Caenorhabditis elegans: one gene and its partners. The protein of the gene in region 1 interacts with the protein of each later gene in a pairwise test. Each region holds a gene or a part of one and is shown on either strand. Other genes may lie near its edges.

Region 1 (8,241 bases):
AACTGATTTAAAACAATGTTCAACAGAAAATTTGAAAAACCACAAAATTTGCCAGAAATGAAGTAATTTCCTTGAGAAACGAGAAGGTGACCGGAAATATAAAAAAAAACTTCGAGACCTATCTGTATAAATCTTCGCTTTTTTAGGAAGGCATGTCAACATTTCTAGAAATCACGATATTCATTCCTATGGTATATATTTTTACAGAAAGAGGTCAATGCGTTCTCACAGTATGTGTGCAGAGTTACTGGTGTTGAAACTGGAATCATGGATTGGTGGGCTCGTCACGCCGGTCGCTTCCCTCGTCTGTACAAATATGCCAGAGAGCTTTTCATAATTCCAGCGTTTTCGATTGATGCCGCTTATTATCTCGGGTTAGGAAATTTTATTCGCTTAATTTCAATACAGTTGACATTTACAGAGAGTACGGTATCCTTACACATTCGATCAACGAATCAGATATCTCAAAAAGGAAAATGCTACTTCGTGCAGCGAGTGAATTAGTTGAATATCGGTAATTTTAATTCTTAGATCTCCAAAACTCATTATTATTTTATAGCTCGAAGGGATCTTTGATGTGCAAACCAATTTGCGTAAAGCGAAGAAAAGACGCCAATTCTCCTGAAGATGCTTGGTATCATGCAATCGATGTGAGAGCTCTACAGATTGTAGATGTACCATCAGACGAGCCTCCAAAACGAATGATTCCTCAACGAACGCCATTTGTGTATCAGAATCCAAACCCACTTCCACCGCATCGAATTCTACAATCGTTTCCCACAATTCGAACAAACAGAGAAGCACCACATGGAAGAAGTCTGAAAGATGAAATTGCAAAAATCGCTGCGAATAGACAGAAGATTCAGAGAGTGTACACTGTTGCTTCATCATCGCCGTACGCGAGGCCTGTTGTCGTTAAAACCGAATCCAAAGAGGGCATTGTTGAACAACTGACTCCATCGGCTCCTCCACCGAAGAGGTACTACGCAGTACGACCTGCGGCAGGCAATGGAACAAGTGTGATTCGCGGAAAAGATGGTCAAGTATTACGAGTTATCAGAAATACCCCTTCGTGAGCTGATCAATTAAAAAAAGAAAATATTCGATTTTTGAAATATCGAAAAAAAATGTTTCAGAAAATATTTTTTTTAAATCAATGTTTACGTTGATGAGAAAGCATAATAAAACATGAATATTTTCTAAAAAGCAGTGAAATTATTAAGAATTTTGAGCTATTTTTTGAAAAATCAAAAAAAAATTTCGAAATATCAGAAAATTGAAAGTTTTCGATTTTTCAAAAATTAAACAATTTTTGGTTTTTAATTTTAGTGAGAAATCAAACAACCGACATCCTTGTATCAAAGGTGTCGCCATAAAATGTTCGATTTTCCGGTATTTCTCATAGAAAATAGAAAAAGTTGTTCGGTTGTTTTTTTTTGGAAATAAAATTTTATTCAAAAAAAATACGAGGAAAGTATGTATAGATTTATCTCTCAAATCAGAGAAATGACATTATTCATAAAAATGAAATGTTTTCCAAAAGATCGAAAAACAAAATGTTCGATTTTTTAAAATAAAATTACATCCTTTCTGCTGATACCATTATTAACCTAAATTAAATATATTCAACTTTTCAGAGTCTCCTTCAACTTAAACACTCCTCTGACTGCATCGAAAAAGATGTATTTCATTCGTACAAAAACTGGTGTTACCCATCAGCTACATCAACCTCCACAATAATCCCAGCTCATACATCTGTACCTCAATTCACTTTAGTTATTTGTCACTAGTTGGTATTTTCATTGTTTTGTTTTTGTTATGCTACTTGTTTCGATATATCCGCATGTTGTTTCAAATTGACTATGCTAACGTTTTCTTTTCTCATCGACCAGTTTACTTCCCTGTTCTGTTTAATAGTTCTCAATCATGTTATTTTTCTCAATTTTTCTGAAGAGTATCTTATCATTTCTTTTTTTCTGTATTCCCAACTCACCTTGACATTTCTGAATTGTTGACCCAGCAAGAAACTTTGCATACCCTCTGACTGGTATTTCATATTTTTGGGAGAAAAAAAACGTTTCGAAAATTTGTGAATTATTATGTGAAAAAAAAAAAAAAAAAATTATCCTATCGCGTTTTCCTTTCTGCATCTAAGTCTCCAATGAGTCAGCACAAACACATTGCGAAACATTTTCTGTCTCTTTGGTATAAATAGAGAGTTTCCTCTCTTTGAAATGATTTGAAGGTTTTACTGATATCAACGTTATGAAATTTAGTCATCTCGTCGCGTTTCTTTTCGAAAAGTTTTGAATATTCAACTTTACGTTTTTTAGTTTTGGAAATTTCAGTGTGTTATTTCAGTTTATATAATGTTTCTGAATTTATTACAACACAAAATTATGAAAATGCGTAATGCGCTATCTGACTATCTGACGCGCAAAATATCTCGTAGCGAAGGCTACAGTAACTCTTTAAATAACTACAGTAGCTGTGGTGTCGGTTTACGGGCTCGACTTTTGAAACGTATTTATTCTCGAATAGTGATAAATAGCGATACTCTATTTTTCTTCGTTTCTTCGTATTATTTTCTCATTTTTGCTTAATATGATAAATTATATCTACATGATAAGTCAAAATGATCCCGTAAATCGACACAGGCGCTACAGTAGTCCTTTAAAGAATTACTGTAGTTTTCACTACGAGATATATTGCGCGTCAAATATGACATTAATAATATTTACAAAATACAGATGTTTTTTAAAAATATCTTTGTCTTTAGACAACTACTGCTATAATCTCTCATGCGTATATCGTATATTCGTTGAAATTTTAAAATTCAGTTTAAAGGCGCACACTATTTTTCTGTGTAGGTCTCGCCACGATCTCAGCTATAGTGATCGCTACAAGCTTCAAATTTCATGCATTGGTTCATTTAATGTAGAAATGTACGACCAGTTAGAAAAATACCAAACCAATATGTTGAATAAATTAACTTCAAGCCAGATTTTCTACAGTAAACATTAAGATTGTATCACCGTCCGTAAATCTATATATTCTTAGAAATGCAGCGATATTAATGATTAACAACAATTCGTGATATATACTTTCGTTATTTTAGAATTCCTAATATTTGAAAATACACACCTCTTAAAAAGAGTCATTTTCAGAAATGACCACCAACCCATCTGTCCACGAGTTCGAGACTCGTGATCTTAAAATTGCCGAGGTGAAAGTATTCACTGATAGAGCTGAAATCCGTCGTCTTGTCAAAGTTTCATTGAAATCTGGTGTCAATGAAGTTGTTCTCAAGGTTTGTAGAATATGAACAAGTTTTTCAAGTAGTTTTGAATTTAGAACCTCTGCAAAACAATGGCTCAAGGATCAATTAGAGTTGAAGGAAGAGGAAATGCAATCATTCATGATGTAGTTATTAAGAATGTTTCTCGTTTGCCAACTGAAGCTGATCCTCCAAAGGTTGGCAAGATAATTAAAATTCGAAAATATATTCTTTTTTTTAAGATCACCAATCTCAAAGCTGCCATTCTAGAGGAGAAAAATCGCCTCCAAAAAATCACAGATCGCGGAACGGTTGTCCAAAAATGCGTTGACAATTTGGACAAAGTTTTCGAACAAGTTGGTGGGGGTCTCGTGAATCCACCAAAAGATGGTGTTGCTTCTTTAAATGAAGGAACTTTGGAAAGTCTTACAAATTTCTTCCAATTCTATGGGAGCAACTCCGAATTATACAGAGAAAGTGAGTTTAAACGATAAATTTGAGATTTTAAAAAACTTAATTTTTTTTTCTAGAACTACGATCAGTTGAAGCTGGACACCGTGAGCAACAGGAAAAAGTTTCGAAACTGGAAAACGAGTTACGAGCTCTAATGCACAATTTGAATGAAGAAGCGTTCTCTCAGTGAGTTTTTGAAAAGTTTAAGGTGGAATTGTGCCAGTCGGGGAATTTACCAAAATATACTAAAAATGGGGCAAAAACAACTTTATATGTCTTTTCAAATCTTTCTTAATCTTAACTCAAACTTTTGGCAACATACCAAATTTTGAATCATTTAAAAAATTTGAAAAACTATCAAAAAACCCATAAAAATTTGAGGCGCACAATGAGCTATGCTTTGCTTTCTATGCACTATTTATTTTCAAATACAAATGGGATTACAGATAGATTTGAAGATATGCAAAAAAGCATCCAACCCTAATAAAAATTCGAAATATTATAAAGAAAAGTTCCATATGATTTTCCATCTATTTCTAGAAACAATTTATTTTTTGAGTCTTATTGTTTGACATTGTTAAGCTGTAGTATTTAAGATCACTGTTTGCCTATCTTCCCAACAAATTGATAACTTAATTTTAGCACTGCCACAATTACTTTGGAATGCACAGAAGACCTGGAAGCTGAGCTGAATGTAGTCTATCAAGTGTTAGATGCTTCGTGGCATCCATCATACGATATCCGAGTTGACACAGAGAAACCATCCATGAGCATTACATACTTTGGAAAAATCCGTCAATTCACAAAGGAAGATTGGACTTCTGCACCACTTGTTTTGTCAACTGCTCAGCCATGTCTTGCTGGCAGAATTCCAGATCTTGGAACTCTCGAAGCAACCTTCCGTCGTCCTGAAGTTCAACATTATCAAACAAGATCGATGAATGCATCAGCCTCATTATTTGGGGCGCGGGGACCGCAGAACCGTCGAGCCGAAACACTCGGATTTTCAGATGAAGTGACTTTGGCTCCACCAATGGCTGTCGCTGTTGCTTCAGAAATCACCCAAAACACGTTGAGCACAGAATTTAAAATTCTCAGAGAAGCAACAATTCCACACGGTACTGATGAACACAAAGTTACTATTGGAGTTGTGACTCTTACACCAAAACTTGTTCATGAATCCGTTCCAAGTAAGAATGCTGCAGCTTTTCTCACGGCTTCTGCTGTTAATACTTCTCAACTTGCACTCCTGGCTGGATTTTCATCTGTCTATCTGAATAATGCATTTGTCGCAACAGTAAGATTTTTTTGTTGAGAAAATTGATTTAAAACAAATTAAGTTGCTGAAATAACCAAATTTTAATAGTAAGAATTCTTCTATCGATTCAATCTTGTTTCACTCTGAACATACAAGAATGATCTGAATCTTTCAACAAAAAAAAAGAAAATTTCAAAACTTGGAAATTTGTCAAAACTCAACTAGAAGTCATTAAACCTCTAAAACATTGTATAATGAATGATATATGAAAATATTTAGTCTCATTGAATCAGTTTGAGTATATTTTAATAAAATCCAACTTTTAGAGTCACCTGAAAAACGTGTCACCAGGTGAAAGACTCACTTGCTCTTTGGGAGTTGACACGGCAATTCGTGTGGAGTACAAGCCGGCAAAGAAGTACCATGAGGAAGGAGGTTACATCACCAAGCACTCTGCAAATGTCACGGAGCAAACAATCTCCATCAAAAATACGAGAAATGAGCAGCCGGTGCTCCTAACCGTGAAGCATGCGATTCCACGTAGCACTGACGAGAAGATCCGTGTGAAGCTAGTTTCACCAGCAGCTACGCCATATGATGCGGAGAAGGCTGGCACTGAAGCCGAGAATTCTGAGCCTGTGGAAGGGGCAAAGTTCAATTCCAGCAATCACTTGGAGTGGACTATAAAGCTGGCTCCGAGCAGCTCAAAGGATCTGATCATCAAATATGTGGTGGAGCATCCAAAAGATGAAACTGTTCAATATCAAGAGAATTTCTAAAGTACATCCAACAGTGAATTGATACTTAAATGAAGTCGTCTATCTTTTACAGAAATTTTTGTTTTACAATTTTCCCATTTCCGTTTTATCGGTTTTCATTTTTTTAATGTTTTTTTTGCACTTTCTTCACCTCTAGTTATAATATGCCCATCGAATAATCTACGCTTATAGATGGCATCAATTTACGAACTTGACATTCGAAATCAGGAAATCAGTGGAATTACAATTCTCAGTGACCGAGCTGAAGTGAAACGACGGGTACCAGTTAATTTGAAAGCGGGAGTTAGTGAGATTTGTTTAAAAGTGAGTTTCTTTTTTTGAAAATCATTTTATTGAAATTCCAACACTTTAAATCTCAACTTTTGAATAATTTACATACAAAGACTAATATAAAACTCATTTTGTGTAGATTATCTTTCTGAAAAAGTTGTATATAAAAAATTATAGTAAAAATGAGCCAAATAAAATAAATATTAAAAAGAACATTTAAACATTATTTTGAAATTGTTTTTGAAACCTTTTGAAATGCTGGTAATTTGCAAAAATTTTGACTTTTTGGTGTATCAAAATGGTTACGCGGAGAACTAATAATAGTTTTGCAATAAAAATCTAAAAGTTCATAAAATAGATTGAGTTATATTATGGGATTTCTATAATTATTTTTTTTTTAATTATTATTTTCAAATCTTTAAAATCGCTATCAAAATATTTTCACGGCGTACCGTACCTAAAAATTCTTCGCGTTTAAGACCATTAGCCATTGTCGGGGAGTTTTCAAATGTTGCCAAGAAAGTTAGAGCTCAGCAGCATCTTTGCAACTTCATTGAAACTTACAACTGTTAGTAACTTATTTTGTAAGTTAACATTGAATTCCTACAATATATAAACTAATGAAATGTTTATTTAAAACTCCAAATTTTCAGAACTTCTCTGTATTTTTCCAAAGTGATTCTATTAGAGTTGAAGGTCGTGGGAAAGCAACAGTTTGTGATGTGAACGCTAAAAAACTCCCTTCTTTAAACTCAGAAACTGACTCCCCGAAGGTAAGTAAAAAAAAATCCCTGTTACATAGATTTTTGAAGCTACTTATGTATTTTAGATTGCCGAGTTGCGAAGTGAGCTTGACAAATACAATGCAATACGTAATAATCAAGAGGATCAGAGAGATATATTGAAAAAGAAAATAGGTGGATTAGAACGGACAGTAGGAAGAATTGGAAAAGGAATAATGAATCCTAAAAGAGAATCCGGAAGTGTTGTTATTGATGAGAACCTGCTGACAGGACTTCAGAAATTGTTAGATTTTCAAGAAACTGAAATGAATAAATTGAATGAACAGTTGCGGGAGAAAGAGCATGAGATCCTCAAAACAATTGAAATGGCGAGTAAGATTGGAAATGAGTTAAATCGCTTAGTGAATAGCGGAATTTCCAATATGTCTCAGTAAGTTTAAATATAACTTTATGTATCAAAACGTTCAATAGGACAGTTTGAAAAACGCTGAAATATTTATATTTCTACTTTGTTTAGTGCCTACAACTTACCAGAAAAATTTTTTAGGACGTGACAGTATCAAAATGTTTGTTGAAACTCAGGAAGTCTAATTTTCAGCACGGTCTTCATTACACTTGAAGCTTTCGAAGATGGCGACGTTGAATTGGATATAACTTATCAGGTTTTTCAAGCTGGGTGGCAGCCGTCTTATGATATTCGCGTGGATACTGAGAAACCAACAATGGCTATTACATATTTCGGAAAGATCTATAACCATTGTGGAGAAGACTGGAACGAATTTCCAGCTGTTTTGTCGACTGCTCAACCTAGTCTCGGAGGACAGATTCCTGAACTAGGTGTTCTCGATGCTCACTTCTACAGACCTGCACTAAAGATGAGGCGACAACGTGGCCTGAGAATAATGAATAGAAGAGGTGGGCCTCGTATGTTGTCCAATTATTCCAACGAGATTGATGATGGTGTAGAAGAAGTACTTCAAACAATGGCTCCACCTCCAATGGAAGTCACAAAGAACACTTTGAGTACAGAGTTTAGAATCGCACGGAAAGCGACTATTTTAAACGGTGTAGACGATCATAAAGTGACTATCGGCACTATTGAACTGATACCATCACTTTTACATCAAAGTGTTCCATCCAAAAATGCATCAGCGTTGTTGACAGCTTCAGCAGTCAATACTTCTGTACTGCCACTTTTGAGTGGTGAAACTTCAATCTTTTTGAACAATGCTTTTGTTGCAAAGGTGAACGATTGTATCAAATTTTCATAGTTTTCTCTCAAAAATATAATAGTGTAGGATCCCGTTAAACAGATGCTTTCCAAAAGTGCTCATTTCAGGAGTGGGCGGCAATTGCCGTTCGGCAAATTAATTTGTCGACAAATTCGGCAAATCGGCCAATTGCCGATTTACTGATTTGCCGGAAATTTTCAATTCCGACAATTTGCCGGTTTGCAGATTT
Region 2 (7,303 bases), on another chromosome or scaffold:
AATTTTCAACTGAAACACCCGATTCTTCAGCAAACATGGGAATTCATGCACTCGGATGTGACAGTTGGAGATGTCCTTGGTGAAGGAGCATTCGGAAAAGTGTGCGCTGGTGAACTGAGGCTCAAAGATGGAAGTTCAGCAGAAGTAGCAATCAAGATGACCAAAGCATCTGCATTTTTGAGCAAAATGAAGATTAAGGAGATGATGAATGAAGCAAGGTTCATCAGAAACTTCAATCATAAAAACGTCGTACGCCTATATGGAGTTGCTCATGATGAGCAGCCACTGTACATTCTACTTGAGTTGGTCAAAGGTGGATCCTTGCAAGATTACATGAAGCAGACGAAATCGGTGCCCCTGGCGGATCGAATCAATTTTTGTCTTGGAGCTGCAAAGGGTCTTGCGTACTTGCATCAAAACAATTGTATCCATCGGTGAGCAGGTTTTTTGTTGGAAAATCGATTGAAAACTTTTCAGGGACATCGCCGCCAGAAATTGTCTTCTTCACGAGAACGAGGTCAAGATCACCGATTTTGGATTATCTAGAGCTGGACCATCTTATACAACAAAGACATCTTGTAAGATTCCTATAAAGTGGCTCGCGCCTGAAACCTTGGCTACTCTGAGCTTCTCATATGCAACTGATGTTTATAGGTTAGTTTTATCAACTATTGAGGTATAGACAAGTGTTCTTTCCAGCTGGGGAGTCACTTGCTACGAAGTCTTCGTCGACGGTGCTGAACCATTTGAAGGTGTCTCGAATGCAACTATCAAGGCTGATATCATGGCTAACAATTTCTATCCAATGCCATCAATGACTCCAGACGAAGTAAAAGAGTACATGAGCAGTTGTATTTTTGTCGAAGAATCTCGTCGAGCCACAATACCATTGGCAGTTGCAGAATTTGAACGATTTGCTCGAATGTGTGAAGATGGGACATTACAGATGGGAAAAGCGAAAAATAGGCTTCTGGCAGTTTTCAAAAACAATAGTGATAGAAGCAGAAAAAGTCAGAGAAGCAAGAGGACGAAGAAGAAGAAGGAAGTGCCAAAAGAGGAGTGAACTGTTTTTATGATTCTTTCTACTTGAATAAAAATTGAGCATATGCTTTTTTTCAAAAAAAAAATAGACAAACATCTTAATAAAAATCCAAGATTCGAGCTTTGCTGGTATCATATTTTTCTCATTGGGGCGACATTTGGGGTACATTTCCGAATAAAATAAGTTGCATTATAAGTTTTTTTTTTTTATTTATTTTTGTTCATATTTCTCTGTGAATTGATTTTTCAATTAATGCTATTCCTGAAAAAATTATACAGATTTCCTTTCTGAATTAAATATTTGAATTATTTTTATATGGTTCCGTCTACATTCCGTTTTACACAACTTTTTTCAAAAAAAAACTTTATTTTAAAACATTCAAATGAATATGATCATTGATTAATTTATGGGTGATATGGTGGTGGTGATGCAGTAAGGCATTGGCTCTTCTTTGTCGGCTCACATTCATCTACCATTTCATCGATTGTCTCCTCACTTCCAACCACAATCCGTGCATTACATGCTAATCGATTCCCGGTCAGTGATCCATTTCTTAGGGTAAATCCCAACAGGTATCCCATTGAGATCATTGGAGATTCGAAAGTTGGCGGGAGTCCATTTGGCAGATCAATCTCCACATTGATATATTTCACCTCACCAGGTGCGACGTCACAACTGTAATTGGCTCCGCGGAGCACTGTTTCACCATCTCTTCGATATTTGGATTCAATTGGGCAGTCGGAGTGACAATCGTTAAGAGAACACAATGATTTCTGTGGGCGAGAGTGGTAATGGGATTGTTGAATGAGCTCGAAACGAAGATTAATGATTGGTTTTGTTGAATGATTCTCCATGATGGCAAGTGCTCGGATTGTCTCCCCTGCGAGGAATGCTCGTTTGGAAAAGTGAAGCTAAAATATAATGAGTGAATTTTTTGACTCTACTTTTGAAATTGAACAATACCTTCAACAAAAACAATCCATCTTTGAAAATCGTTCCAGAATTCTTCGACTTGACAAATTCCGCGTACTTCATCATTTTTGGCTCAGAAAGTGTCAGATTTGTCTTCTGAACCACACGGAATGTATTCATCATTTTTAACTTGAGTCTCCACGGACGATCAAATTCCACAGTAACAGAATACTCAATTTCTCCAAACATTCCGCAAAAACTTGGCGGAGAATTTTCTGGAAGTCGGAATCGGAAACGTGATTTGAGAGTTCCAGCGGGGATTGTGTCCTGAATGGGAATATTTTGAAAATATATTTATTAAGTATTAAAAACTCACAACTCCATCTTTGGCAATCCATCCCATAAATGTTCCGGCAAGATGGCGTTGGACATTTGAGCTCTCCGATCCTCCAAAATTACACTTTGATTCTCCTTTCCACGTGATTTCCATATATCGTGCAGAAATTGGATCTTTTGTTGTGAGCAACACTTTTCCAGAGACATAGTCGCCAGGCAGGTATGTTTTGGAAGGATTGGAGAAAACAATGTTCACAGACATAATTCAAAAGGGAGAGATCGAGATAATAAAAGACTGACTGAATGAGACAGATTCTACGTCGTTGTAATCAACTTTCAGCGTTTGTGGGCGGAGTTTCCCATCTTGCTCGGAGAGTGTGGAGGTGATGTGACAATATAGAAAGGTGGTAGATTGCCACCTGCTCTTTTATGAGAATTCCAAATCGATATTGTAATTTTTCTGCACCAACGAAGAACAGTGTCGGTGTAAAAGTCGTGTTTGTTATGGAAAAACGTATTTTCAGATTTTTATCTCCAATTTTCAAAAAGATCTGCATAAAAGAGCAAAATGCCAACAATGCCATCAAGTTTCCAACGTCTTCTTGATATCCCACCTACAATTTGAAACTGAAGAATCTGATAGTGGCACAAAGTCCGAAGGTACAGCTCATAGGTGAAATGCTCAAATAAAGAGAAAATAAACGAATTTTTATTGGTTTCAGCGCCCCAACATACAGCAAAGATCTGAATACAATTCGTTCAAGACTTTCAAAGTTTGTAAGAGGAGGTCAAAAGAAAGTGACAAAAGCAGAAGACAACGATGATTGAATTGTTCTATTCCATTGATCTCATCGAAATTTGATAATATTTTGATAATAAATAATTTATCAATTTAATTAATATAACAACGTGACATCGTTTGTACTTGTTTTATTCAGAAAAAAATTACAGAAAAATAAAAAGTGAAAACAAAAACTGACTCAGTTCTAAATATTTTCTTATCGATAGCTCTTTCGTATCCGCAACAATCCATTCGGAGTAAGTTAACATTCAGATTGCGCGTTGGGTCTGACAATGAGGGCATAGTGACTCTACCAGTTACTAGAGAAGCGGACTGCATTGACATGAACTTCTTACAGATGACAACCAACAACAATAGTTTTCATGTAAAAGGAAAAGAAGAAGTACAATTCGAACGGAAGAATGTGGTTGTAGCATGTGATGTGGTCAATGGGAAGGTAAATGAGGGCTCATTTCGTTTTTGTTTGTTGGGAAATGTTTCTGAAATAATTTATTGAGATGGAAATACATTTCTTTTTGAATAATGTATTCAACGTAGGGCTCGCGCTAAGAGCTGAAACGAGCACAATTTTGTCGGCATTCCTGATGTGTTTAACATTCGAAAATTCCTTAATTTTTCATAAATACGAAGTTTGGGCTATTAAAAAACTCATTTTCAATTCAAAAATCGAAGAGATCTTGAATAATCACATTTGAGATCATATATGTGGACGTGAGTAGCCAATTGATGGGTGTTCTATTTGCTGGTGATGAGATTTTGAACGTCAATGGAGAAACCGTAAGGAATATTTTAAGATCCGTTTCCGCTTCCGTTTCAACTAATCCAAATGTTCAGAACATAAAGACAACTGCTGACTTTATCCGTGCAATCAGTGCAAAACTTCCTGGAAAAGTGACAATTGAGTTCATGCGAGATGATCATTGCCTTGTCACTGAAAAACCATTGCCACCTCGTCGTCCAAATACTCAGATGGTTGAGTTGACTTTCACTTATCGTGGAGGTGCTGCAACAGGGATTATTATTCATAGAGTCAGTAATCGGGACACTTGAAACTTTTAAAGATGGTTTCCAGATGGCAGTTGATCCAAAAACTGTAACTATTTCAATGGTTCAGTCGGCTTCCAATGCGTGTCACTATGTCAAAGGTGGAGATATTCTTGTCAAAGTTAATGACATTTATGTTCTTGATCGTGACTCTGCTAGAAAAGTATGATATCTTCCGAAACACAAATGGCTACTATTATCGCTCTTTCAGCTTCTCTATGCGAGTGTCAACAACACAAAAACGGTACGTCTTACATTGGAAAGATCCACAAATACTGATCCACTCGGCCCTGCTCCACTGCCTCCCGATGGTGCACAGAGTACTGCTGTTGGAGTGAAGAAAGCTGGAAATTCAGTGATGCTTCCACCTCCAAAACCACCCCAAGGAAAAGCCAACAAGCAGTTTGATGTGGTCAGTTTAAACCCATTTTCTTTTATCACTTCACTTAAATATAGAAACATGTTTTCATTTTCTTCTTTGCAGCTTCTTCCTTCTGATGTTTTGGAAATTATGAAGACAAACAAGATTTCTACAAGAAACCGTGCACGAATCCTCCATGTATTATCAAATCAGCCGTTGCACCAGCTCCAACTCCAGTTCCAGCCACCTTGCCATCGGAGCCTGCCCCAGAAGTTCGTATCCCATACATTCCGTCTCCGAAGCCCCTGAAAATGACTCCAAAACGTCTGGGATCTTAACTTGAGGAAGATATTCGGAATAAATTTGTTCGAAAAAAGTTACTTTGAAGTGATTTATGAATTTTTAAAGTTTTGAAAATCTACCTATTTTGCCAATAAATTGTCATTTTCATTTGATAATACACACTTAAAGATACGGCTGAAAATGTACATGACAGTAAAATATACTGTGAAGCCAGAGAGTAAAATATACTGTGAAGCCAGAGAGTAAAATATACTGTGAAGCCAGAGAGTAAATTATTCTGTGAAGCCAGAGAGTAAAATGTACTGTGAAGCCAGAGAGTAAAATATACTGTGAAGCCAGAGAGTAAAATATACTATGAAGCCAGAGAGTAAATTATTCTGTGAAGCCAGAGAGTAAAATATACTGTGAAGCCAGAGAGTAAATTATTCTGTGAAGCCAGAGAGTAAAATATACTGTGAAGCCAGAGAGTAAATTATTCTGTGAAGCCAGAGAGTAAAATATACTGTGAAGCCAGAGAGTAAAATACTGTGAAGCCAGAGAGTAAATTATTCTGTGAAGCCATGAGTAAAATATACTGTGAAGCCAGAGAGTAAATTATTCTGTGAAGCCAGAGAGTAAAATATACTGTGAAGCCAGAGAGTAAAATTTACTGTGAAGCCAGAGAGTAAATTATTCTGTGAAGCCAGAGAGTAAAATATACTGTGAAGCCAGAGAGTAAAATATACTGTGAAGCCGGAGAGTAAATTATTCTGTGAAGCCAGAGAGTAAAATATTTCTAAACAACCCAAGAAACGAGTTCTCTAAAATTGTGTCGGGTATCAGAACTGATTGATAAGTTTATTGAAATTGAGAGCAATACATTTAACTTTACTAATTTATTACTTTCAAAAATCAAGTATCCCATTGATAACTGTTCACTTCTTTGCAGCGTTCTGATTCTTTGGATCCAGTTGATTTTCAGCAGAATTGAAAGCTCTAACCAGTGGCACCGACTTCAATTCATCATTCAATGGTTTTAAAGTCGATTCGGACCGTTTCTGAGCCAGTGGTGGTGGGTCTTCAGTTGACTCAGCAGAAAAAGCACGATTGATGATAGCCATTTGAGCGAATTCTTCAGCAGTTTTCTGATAAGTTTGTATATTAAAAAGTTACTTTTCGGAAAGTGCAAAACGTTGCCTGCTGCTGGAATCGAACTAGCGTCGCCACGGCCACAACGTGGAGTACTAACCACTTCAAACTTATTAAGTCAAAATGCGCAGTTTTCATTCCTCAAGATACAGAGTTTACAGTATTGCATAATTAATAAACTACAAAATATTCCATAAACTAACCTTCTTCAACTGATCTTTGGCATTTTCTGCTTCGCTCCCTTTCATTGGTGACTTGTTTTCCATTTTTACTTGTTTCGATGCGAGGATTTTTTCGCAAAACTATTGTTGGAAAATAATTTGCAACTGCTTGAAGCCGTCTATCAAACGAATCGCCACGTGGTATATATGAAATCAATATTTCCAAGGTCACGCAAAGCTTTTTCACTTTGTTCGAGTGTCCTACGAATAAAAATAATATTTTTTAGAATGTGGCTCACTCGGCATTTGGCTCTAGCTTCTTGCCTAAGTTAGCCCAAAAAATATTATGGGCAAAAGTTAGGCAAGACTTTGGCAAAACTTGGATTCAAGCTTTACCAAACTCTAACCCAAGTTTCACCCAACTTTTGCCAAACTTTGGCCCGAACTTTTCTTATTTCGTTTCAAACTTGGGCCAAAGTTTGGCAAGAGTTGGGTGAAACTTGGGTTAGACTTTGGTAAGGCTTGAATCCAAGTTTTGCCAAAGTCTTGCCTAACTTTTGCCCAAGTTTAGACAGCTTCTGATCCAAGTTAATATTTTTTGGGCTAAACTTGGGCAAGAAGCTAGAGCCAAATGCCGAGCACTTCTTGAGAACAGGTATTAACCGGAAAATAACAATACACCTACATTTAATCAAAAAGTAGAGACAAACCGTATTTCTTCTATTAGTAAGGCATGCAAATCTAATTTTCGGACACCTAATTTGATGCAAAACTAATAGAGGTGCAAAACTAATAGAGGCACTTTACTAATAGAGGAAATACGGTATATCATTTGTGAGTGTCGACTGTTTAAAATATTTCAGACTCGGCACGGAATCAGAGAGCATGGACAAATATTACAATTGTTTTTTTTTGACTACAACACTCATGCTACGCTTATTCTCGAGTTCAAAAAAATCAGAGTTACACTGCTAGAATTGAGCTGATTGTGTATGTACATAGTTCACAGTTCACACCTCTGCTACAACCTTCCTCATGTGGTTCTGTACCGAATCATGACAAAAACTGAGAGGACACCCGAATTTGCATAAGCAATAGTATATAAAACTATTCGGAAAGACCTCCACTAATAACTTTTTAACAATTTGATTTTGCTTATATAGTTGCTATCATATCACAATGTCAGCATCATCTGAAACAACCTCGTCTGGAAC
Region 3 (6,213 bases), on another chromosome or scaffold:
TACTTAACATTAAACAAACATAACGTCAGAATCAAGTGTCTCGTTTTTTCCAGTTTTCCCATGATGCCTATAACCTTTCTTAGGATCTCACTGGCATGTTGCCAAGACGCAGCTGTTTGAATGTTAAAAACGATACAATCTGCCTATTTATTTTCCATGCACACATCGTCACGACATTAGAACATCTGTTTGTCCATTGTTTCCAAATTATGTATCGATTTAATTTCTAATCCCTCCTCCAAGGGCCCCACACACATTCTCGCTCTAATAATTGCTTACTCATTTTTTTTTTGCAGTGTGACACATTCTCCCCTCTTTACTCCTCTTCGCTCTTTCCCATGTTCGAGGTCAGCACGCTCGTTTGGTGTCCCAAACGCCTGCGTCTCTCGCACGCGACCGAGTTTTGAATTTAATTCTAAACCGCAGCGCGACCGCGTCGCTCTAACGAACGGATCTCTCCGTATCTAGTTCAGGGAGTTTTTCTGACATTTGCTTGTTTGTCTCACACCAGTTTCATACGATATTTGAATTGGTCTCTGGATTTTTTTGAAAATTTTTTTCTTTTACTTTTTTATTTTTTGCTTTGTATTTATATTATAAAAATGTATAAATTTTCAGAATGAGTGGAGAAGTTGGATCCAACGAATGCCTTGTTTCTACCAATGAAGTTCAAGAAGATTCTCCAGCTGTGACCGAGTCATCAAGTACGTTTTTTTTTGCCTTTTAAATTGTAGTATTATTCAAGATAATTTCAGTTTTTAGAATCCAATAAATCTGACTAATTCATTAAAAATTATCTTTTTCAGGCGCCAACGGATCTTCACCAGTTCGTCGCGGACGCGGACGTCCACCAAAGGGAACCAAGGTCCCAAAAGTCAAGCCGGCTCCAAAGCCGTATTCTGGAGCACCACGTGGCCGCCCACGCAAGTCTGACCAAGTTGCCAAGTCTCCAGTTGCCAAGTCGCCAGTTGCTTCATCGTCCGCCGATGCTTCTCCAAAGCGTTCTCGTGGAGCACCAAAGAGCTACGCTGAGGATGTTGCTGCAACGAAGCCAGCCAAGACTGATGTCGCCACACCGGCTCTTGCTGCTTTGACTGGAGAGAAGAAGGGACGTGGACGCCCAAAGAAGAATTAGATCCAAGGATCTTCATTAACGGTCTCCTCTTCGTCTCATTTTAAGATACTCCGACCTTTTCACTTTTAATTTCCTGAGCCATTATTTATGTATTTATGATTTTTGAACGTCAAGTGAGTGTGAAAATAAATAAAATTAAATTTTCAATGCAATTCGATCTCAAAGACCTCTTATCAACCAAAATGATTTCGAGCAAGTCAAAATGAGCAGCTTCAAGTGGTGTCAGGCTGTCCCATCGCCCCACTGCACACAAACAGCGGGAAATAGTTCTTCAACTTTTGTGACGTCACAGCGCAATTTTGAATATGTATTCTCCCGCCTTTCGTGTGCAGTGGAGCGATGTGACAGTCTGACACCACGTGAACGGAGGAATACGGTGCCCCGATTCGAAACGAATAAAATTTTGTAGCTACCGTAAGGTTATATATTTTTTCTATTTTTTGGTGGGGTTTGCCAGGCGTAAAGACAAATCAACTAATTATTTTCACTCGAATTTGGAACTAACAATTTATGTAGATTTTCCAAATTTTGAAAGCTTCCATAACCACCGAGTGCAAGCAGAAACAGTGTATTTTCAGTCATACCTTTTATGAAACATTTTGAGATTGAATGGAACTGACCATTATATATATTTCTGCGTTTTTTTGAAATTTTCATTTTTCGGTGAGGTTTGCCGGGTATAAAAACTAATCAACTAATTATTATCACTTGAATTTCAGAAATTATCAAAAACTTAATGGGTGTGTCCATCAGCAAATTTCATAATCTCTTTTGTAGCCGAACTTATGTTATCAGTTCTTCCGTACTTTCCCGATGCCATTATTTAAACTAATCAGTCGCTGATAGTTTGCTAGTTTACTCAATTTGTGAAATGCACTTTTCCTTCATTTTCCTGGTACTGGTGTACCTGACATTTGCCTTTGGTGACTCTTTGATCTGTAACAACGGATTTACTGTAGTAAACTCTAACAAGTGCTTGAAGCTGTTTAGCTCAGCGGTGAAGCACCGGACAGCTGAAGCCAACTGCGCATCTTATGGAGGAACTCTAGTGAATATTAGAAATTCTATTGTGAGTTGATTTACTAAAATCATACTTTTTTTGTGACCAAATTAAAAAAAATCTCTCGATATCCAGGATAACCGAGCAGTCACCCAGTTTGTTGGAAATATTGGCTTGAGCTTCTGGATTGGTGTCTACTGCCTGGAATCCAATAATCCATCTTCTTGCTATTTTGATGATGACCTAGGAACTGATACCGCTTTCAACAATTTTGCAAAAGGATTTCCAAATACCGATATTGGAGGATGTGTCTACAGTGCAACTAGTGGGTCTTTGGCTGGACAATGGATTAGTTCAGAGTGTGATAATGTGGAAATGGCATATGTTTGTGAAATTCCGATGACAAGAGCAGGTAATTGTGACTTCATAGTAAAAATTATTTTAAGCAACAATAAATTTGATTTAGTTTCGAAATTTTGATAAGACAGAAACGTGACTTCTTGGAAGAGTACAAGAGTTTATTGAGAACTTATTGGGCTTCAGGAGTTGATCACAAACTGTCAATTGTGCTCAAAAAGTGAGACCGACCCTTTTCTATATTTTAGTAACACTTTTAGTACCTGATTCCGATAAGGATATATCTAATTATGAAATGTGTTTCTAAGAAGACCCACATTTGGCCACGGACTTGTTCCAATCGGTCATCTTAAATTGTTTCTTCCTCCCCCACTATTCAATCGTTTGTTTTATATTTTGATTTTTGTCTGTAATTGATTGCTTTTTTTGAAATTTTGAATGGTTGAGAAGAAATAAACAAATATAATATAAAAAAGATAAACCACCTCTCTACTTCTCATTTAATCTTCCAGAATTTCAGATTCCTGCGCTCACAATTACAATGGCTACTGCTACATAATGTCTCATGAAAACTCGACATCTCCCATCCTTTCATTCAATGATGCCTACAAATCCTGTCAAGACAACTGTGCAAACCTGGTCTCTATTCACTCGAGAAGAGAGCTCAGCTACATTCAAGGAATCTACAGCCCATTCAATATATCGAGTGTTACAATTGGCGGTCTATCAACGGCTCCCATGGCTCCATATTGGTCTGATCTTAGCCACTGAGACTTTGCTCACATAAACCCTCGTACTGGAACCACTGGAAACTGCTTTCAAATGGCAGTTAAAACTGATTTAACTTGGTCAAAATCTGATTGTGCAGCGACTCAGTATTTCCTGTGTAAACGTCCAACTGGTATAACCTGTGGACCACCAACGCCAGCCCCTCCTGTGATTATCACACCAGCGCCAACGAATCCATCAGGATGTAACTCAACTGCTCTTTTTGATGCCGGAACAATTACTTCGCCCAATTATCCTAGTACTTTTCCAATCCCCTCATATTGTGTTTATAAGTTGACAACTCTTGGTGCATACCGTATTGGCATATATTTCTCGGATCTCTCCATGTCCCAAAATTCATACGTTCTAGTGTATGACTCAAATGGATCACTGATTGTTTCTCTGACGCGATCTTCATCGTTGGGAAACTATTACAGCAGCTCCAACACAATGACTGTCTCTTTCACAAGTGGGAATTATAATGGATATCGTGGATTTTCAGCAAAATTTTTATCCTTCTAACTAAAAAATCATAAAATAATAAATCATTGGAATTATTTTTAAGAGTTTTCCACAAAGAAGCTTCAGAGTTTTGAAAAAAAAAGTCACGAGAATCGTATCTTTTTGATCCGCAATCATATTGGACCAACAAGTAGGTACCCAGACTCATTGACTCATCTTCACGAGTGCACAAGCAGCTGACTACCAATCACTTGTCACCGTAAATTCTCGTTCTCTAAACTTCTGGTCTATGATTGCATCGGCTATGATCATGATCAACATCAAGTTTACAAGTTATTATATTATTTACTAATGTGTTTTTTGGATTTTTGGCTTTAGAAAATAACAATTTTGAGCACTTGTGGGTATTTTGCTCTGCATCAAAAAAACCTTTAAACCGATCTTTAGTTGGAAAAATTGATTTGAAATATTTAAAAATGAGTCGACAGAATTTTGTGACTTTGGGGGCTGAAATTTCGAATTTTTGAAAGAAAATAAAATGAGAAAGTGATAAAAATAATTAACCCAAAAATTCCCGCGGACATCAATTCCAAGTTAGTTCACACCAAATTGGTAATCGTTGACAAGCATTTTTACGAAATGAGCCAATATTTGTTATTAAAATTTAGTTACAGAGTCTAGAAAAAACATTTGCTTTAATTTCAGTTGGAACAGTTTTAAAAAATGCTCAAAAATTGTCTGAAAGTCGGAAGTTACAGGAAAAAATGTCGCATTATTTGTCAATTTTTTCCATCAATTTTCAACTTTCAAACTATACGTGAGCGTTTTTCAAAATTTTCAACTGAAGTTAAAGCTATCAAATGTTTTTTAATGCTCTATCAATAAATTAAAATGAAATAGTCCAATTTCAATTCATTTTTTCAAATTCAAATTTCTTATTGAAATCTTATTCACTTTTTCTCGAATTCCCCAATAACTGGTTTTTATCAGAAATCAAGAATGATATCACTTTCAATTGACAAATGAGACAATTGACGACGGCAGAAATTGTGAGGTCATTGGTTTTTGGCAGGAAATCTAATTTTTAACAAATAAAATTCTATAGTCTATTGTTACAGAGAACACATTAACTAGTATTCGAGTAGTTTGGACCCATTGATAAACAATATTGATAAGGTTTTCGCGATCTGTTCATTTTGCATGTAGATATTGTCTTGATATTTACTAGGTTTATATAATGCGATTTTCAAACATTTGTGAAAATATTTTTCTTTAATCCTTTAACCATGATCCGTTTGCTAAAAAATAGCTGTGAACCTCAGCAATTGACCATGTTTTTCCGTAGTTTTTTGAAACTTCACCAACGTCACGAATTGTTTGTTTTTGTAGGAGTCTTGGCCATTTGAACATATTGGTTAGCGGAATAACACAAAAAACAGATAAATTATCTAATCTTGTATTTAGGTGGAGTGCTTTGTTTTGAAAACCTATCCGCCAACGTTTTTTTTTTAAATTTCTATTTCACTTGCATTCAATGATATCCTATTCAAATAAAAACATTTTACACCAAAAATTAAACTGATGCAGTAGCATTTCTCTGAAATCTTTAGATCAGAAAATGGTTTGTCAAAAATTATACCATTTTTCTAGATTGTATGACTTGGGCAACCAGCTATCCACCCCCATCTAAAAATTTGCATTAATTAGCATGTATTTTTCCTCTCGTTCACAAAATCTGAATCGATTTCCTAGCGGGTCTAGTTTTATGTGTGCTAATAATTTTTGATCTACACATAAATTCGTTTTGATTTTTTGACCTTTTCTTCTTTTTCATTTTATGTTATTTGCCATAGAAAGTAAATTTGAAAATATTTTATCAAACCGAACATCAACCCTGCCTTTGACCGACGTTATTTTAAATTGTAGCCTAAAAAACCAGATTTCCAAATATTTTTTCTCCCTTCGCGTTTCTCTATTTTCCATCTCAATTTTCTGGATCAATGATTTTTTTCAAGTTCCGAATTTTCAGATGCGGTTAAGTATCCAAACCATTCTCTCAATAATTATTGTCACGTTATCATCTGGAATAAACTCATCAAAATGTCGGGATGGAGTGCATAATGTCATTACAGTGGATTCATATGGAAACGGTTAGTTTTTGAAAAGTTTTTACAGTCATTATTTCATCTGAAAAAAATTGAAATTTCAGAAACTCTCCCAGTGGAAATTCGAAATATCCGAATCCATGTCTACGATCATGATATGAAGCCGTCGTGTTACAAGCGAAAAGTGAATGTGGTGATGCCAGGATGGTTTGTGATCAAGAGTGGAGAAGTAGATACATCTCGAGATTTCGATGTTGTCAAAGACGGAGCAGTGTCTGTCAGTGTCGCGTTGGATGGTGATCATATTTGTTTGAACGGACATTCAGATATGTTCATTGTTCCCGAGTCGTTGTGGTTGGTTTTTGCTTTTTTCTTTTGCTTAGATG

The links. Proteins that work in one complex are often made in the same cells at the same time.
Region 2: the proteins of ZK1055.7 (region 1) and mpz-6 interact in a two-hybrid assay, tested with the Caenorhabditis elegans proteins (one large-scale study listed by BioGRID).
Region 3: the proteins of ZK1055.7 (region 1) and T05A7.3 interact in a two-hybrid assay, tested with the Caenorhabditis elegans proteins (one large-scale study listed by BioGRID).

The regions. Positions count from the first base shown.
Region 1 is NC_003283.11:6,600,302-6,608,542, reverse strand, and holds ZK1055.7 (Protein F37C4.5), read left to right. Parts: upstream 1-3,167; 5' UTR 3,168-3,169; coding exon 3,170-3,310; intron 3,311-3,354; coding exon 3,355-3,474; intron 3,475-3,519; coding exon 3,520-3,754; intron 3,755-3,807; coding exon 3,808-3,916; intron 3,917-4,372; coding exon 4,373-5,027; intron 5,028-5,314; coding exon 5,315-5,767; 3' UTR 5,768-5,807; downstream 5,808-8,241. Other genes in the region: gon-14 (HAT C-terminal dimerization domain-containing protein), read left to right, coding at 208-374, 422-514, 560-1,072, 1,638-1,740; ZK1055.6 (Protein F37C4.5), read left to right, coding at 5,939-6,070, 6,691-6,810, 6,867-7,210, 7,379-8,024.
Region 2 is NC_003280.10:9,403,103-9,410,405, reverse strand, and holds mpz-6 (PDZ domain-containing protein), read left to right. Parts: upstream 1-3,285; 5' UTR 3,286-3,328; intron 3,329-3,429; coding exon 3,430-3,528; intron 3,529-3,788; coding exon 3,789-3,869; intron 3,870-3,926; coding exon 3,927-4,121; intron 4,122-4,164; coding exon 4,165-4,299; intron 4,300-4,347; coding exon 4,348-4,548; intron 4,549-4,620; coding exon 4,621-4,806; 3' UTR 4,807-4,872; downstream 4,873-7,303. Other genes in the region: M176.9 (Tyrosine-protein kinase), read left to right, coding at 1-434, 478-654, 700-1,063; arrd-2 (Arrestin C-terminal-like domain-containing protein), read right to left, coding at 1,447-1,953, 2,006-2,281, 2,331-2,552; Y51B9A.5 (Ovule protein), read right to left, coding at 5,715-5,924, 6,132-6,194; Y51B9A.6 (Major facilitator superfamily (MFS) profile domain-containing protein), read left to right, coding at 7,269-7,303.
Region 3 is NC_003280.10:4,672,467-4,678,679, forward strand, and holds T05A7.3 (CUB domain-containing protein), read left to right. Parts: upstream 1-3,314; coding exon 3,315-3,782; downstream 3,783-6,213. Other genes in the region: hmg-11 (HMG), read left to right, coding at 620-704, 807-1,135; clec-140 (C-type lectin domain-containing protein), read left to right, coding at 2,007-2,204, 2,271-2,547, 3,013-3,263; T05A7.1 (uncharacterized protein), read left to right, coding at 5,752-5,872, 5,932-6,181.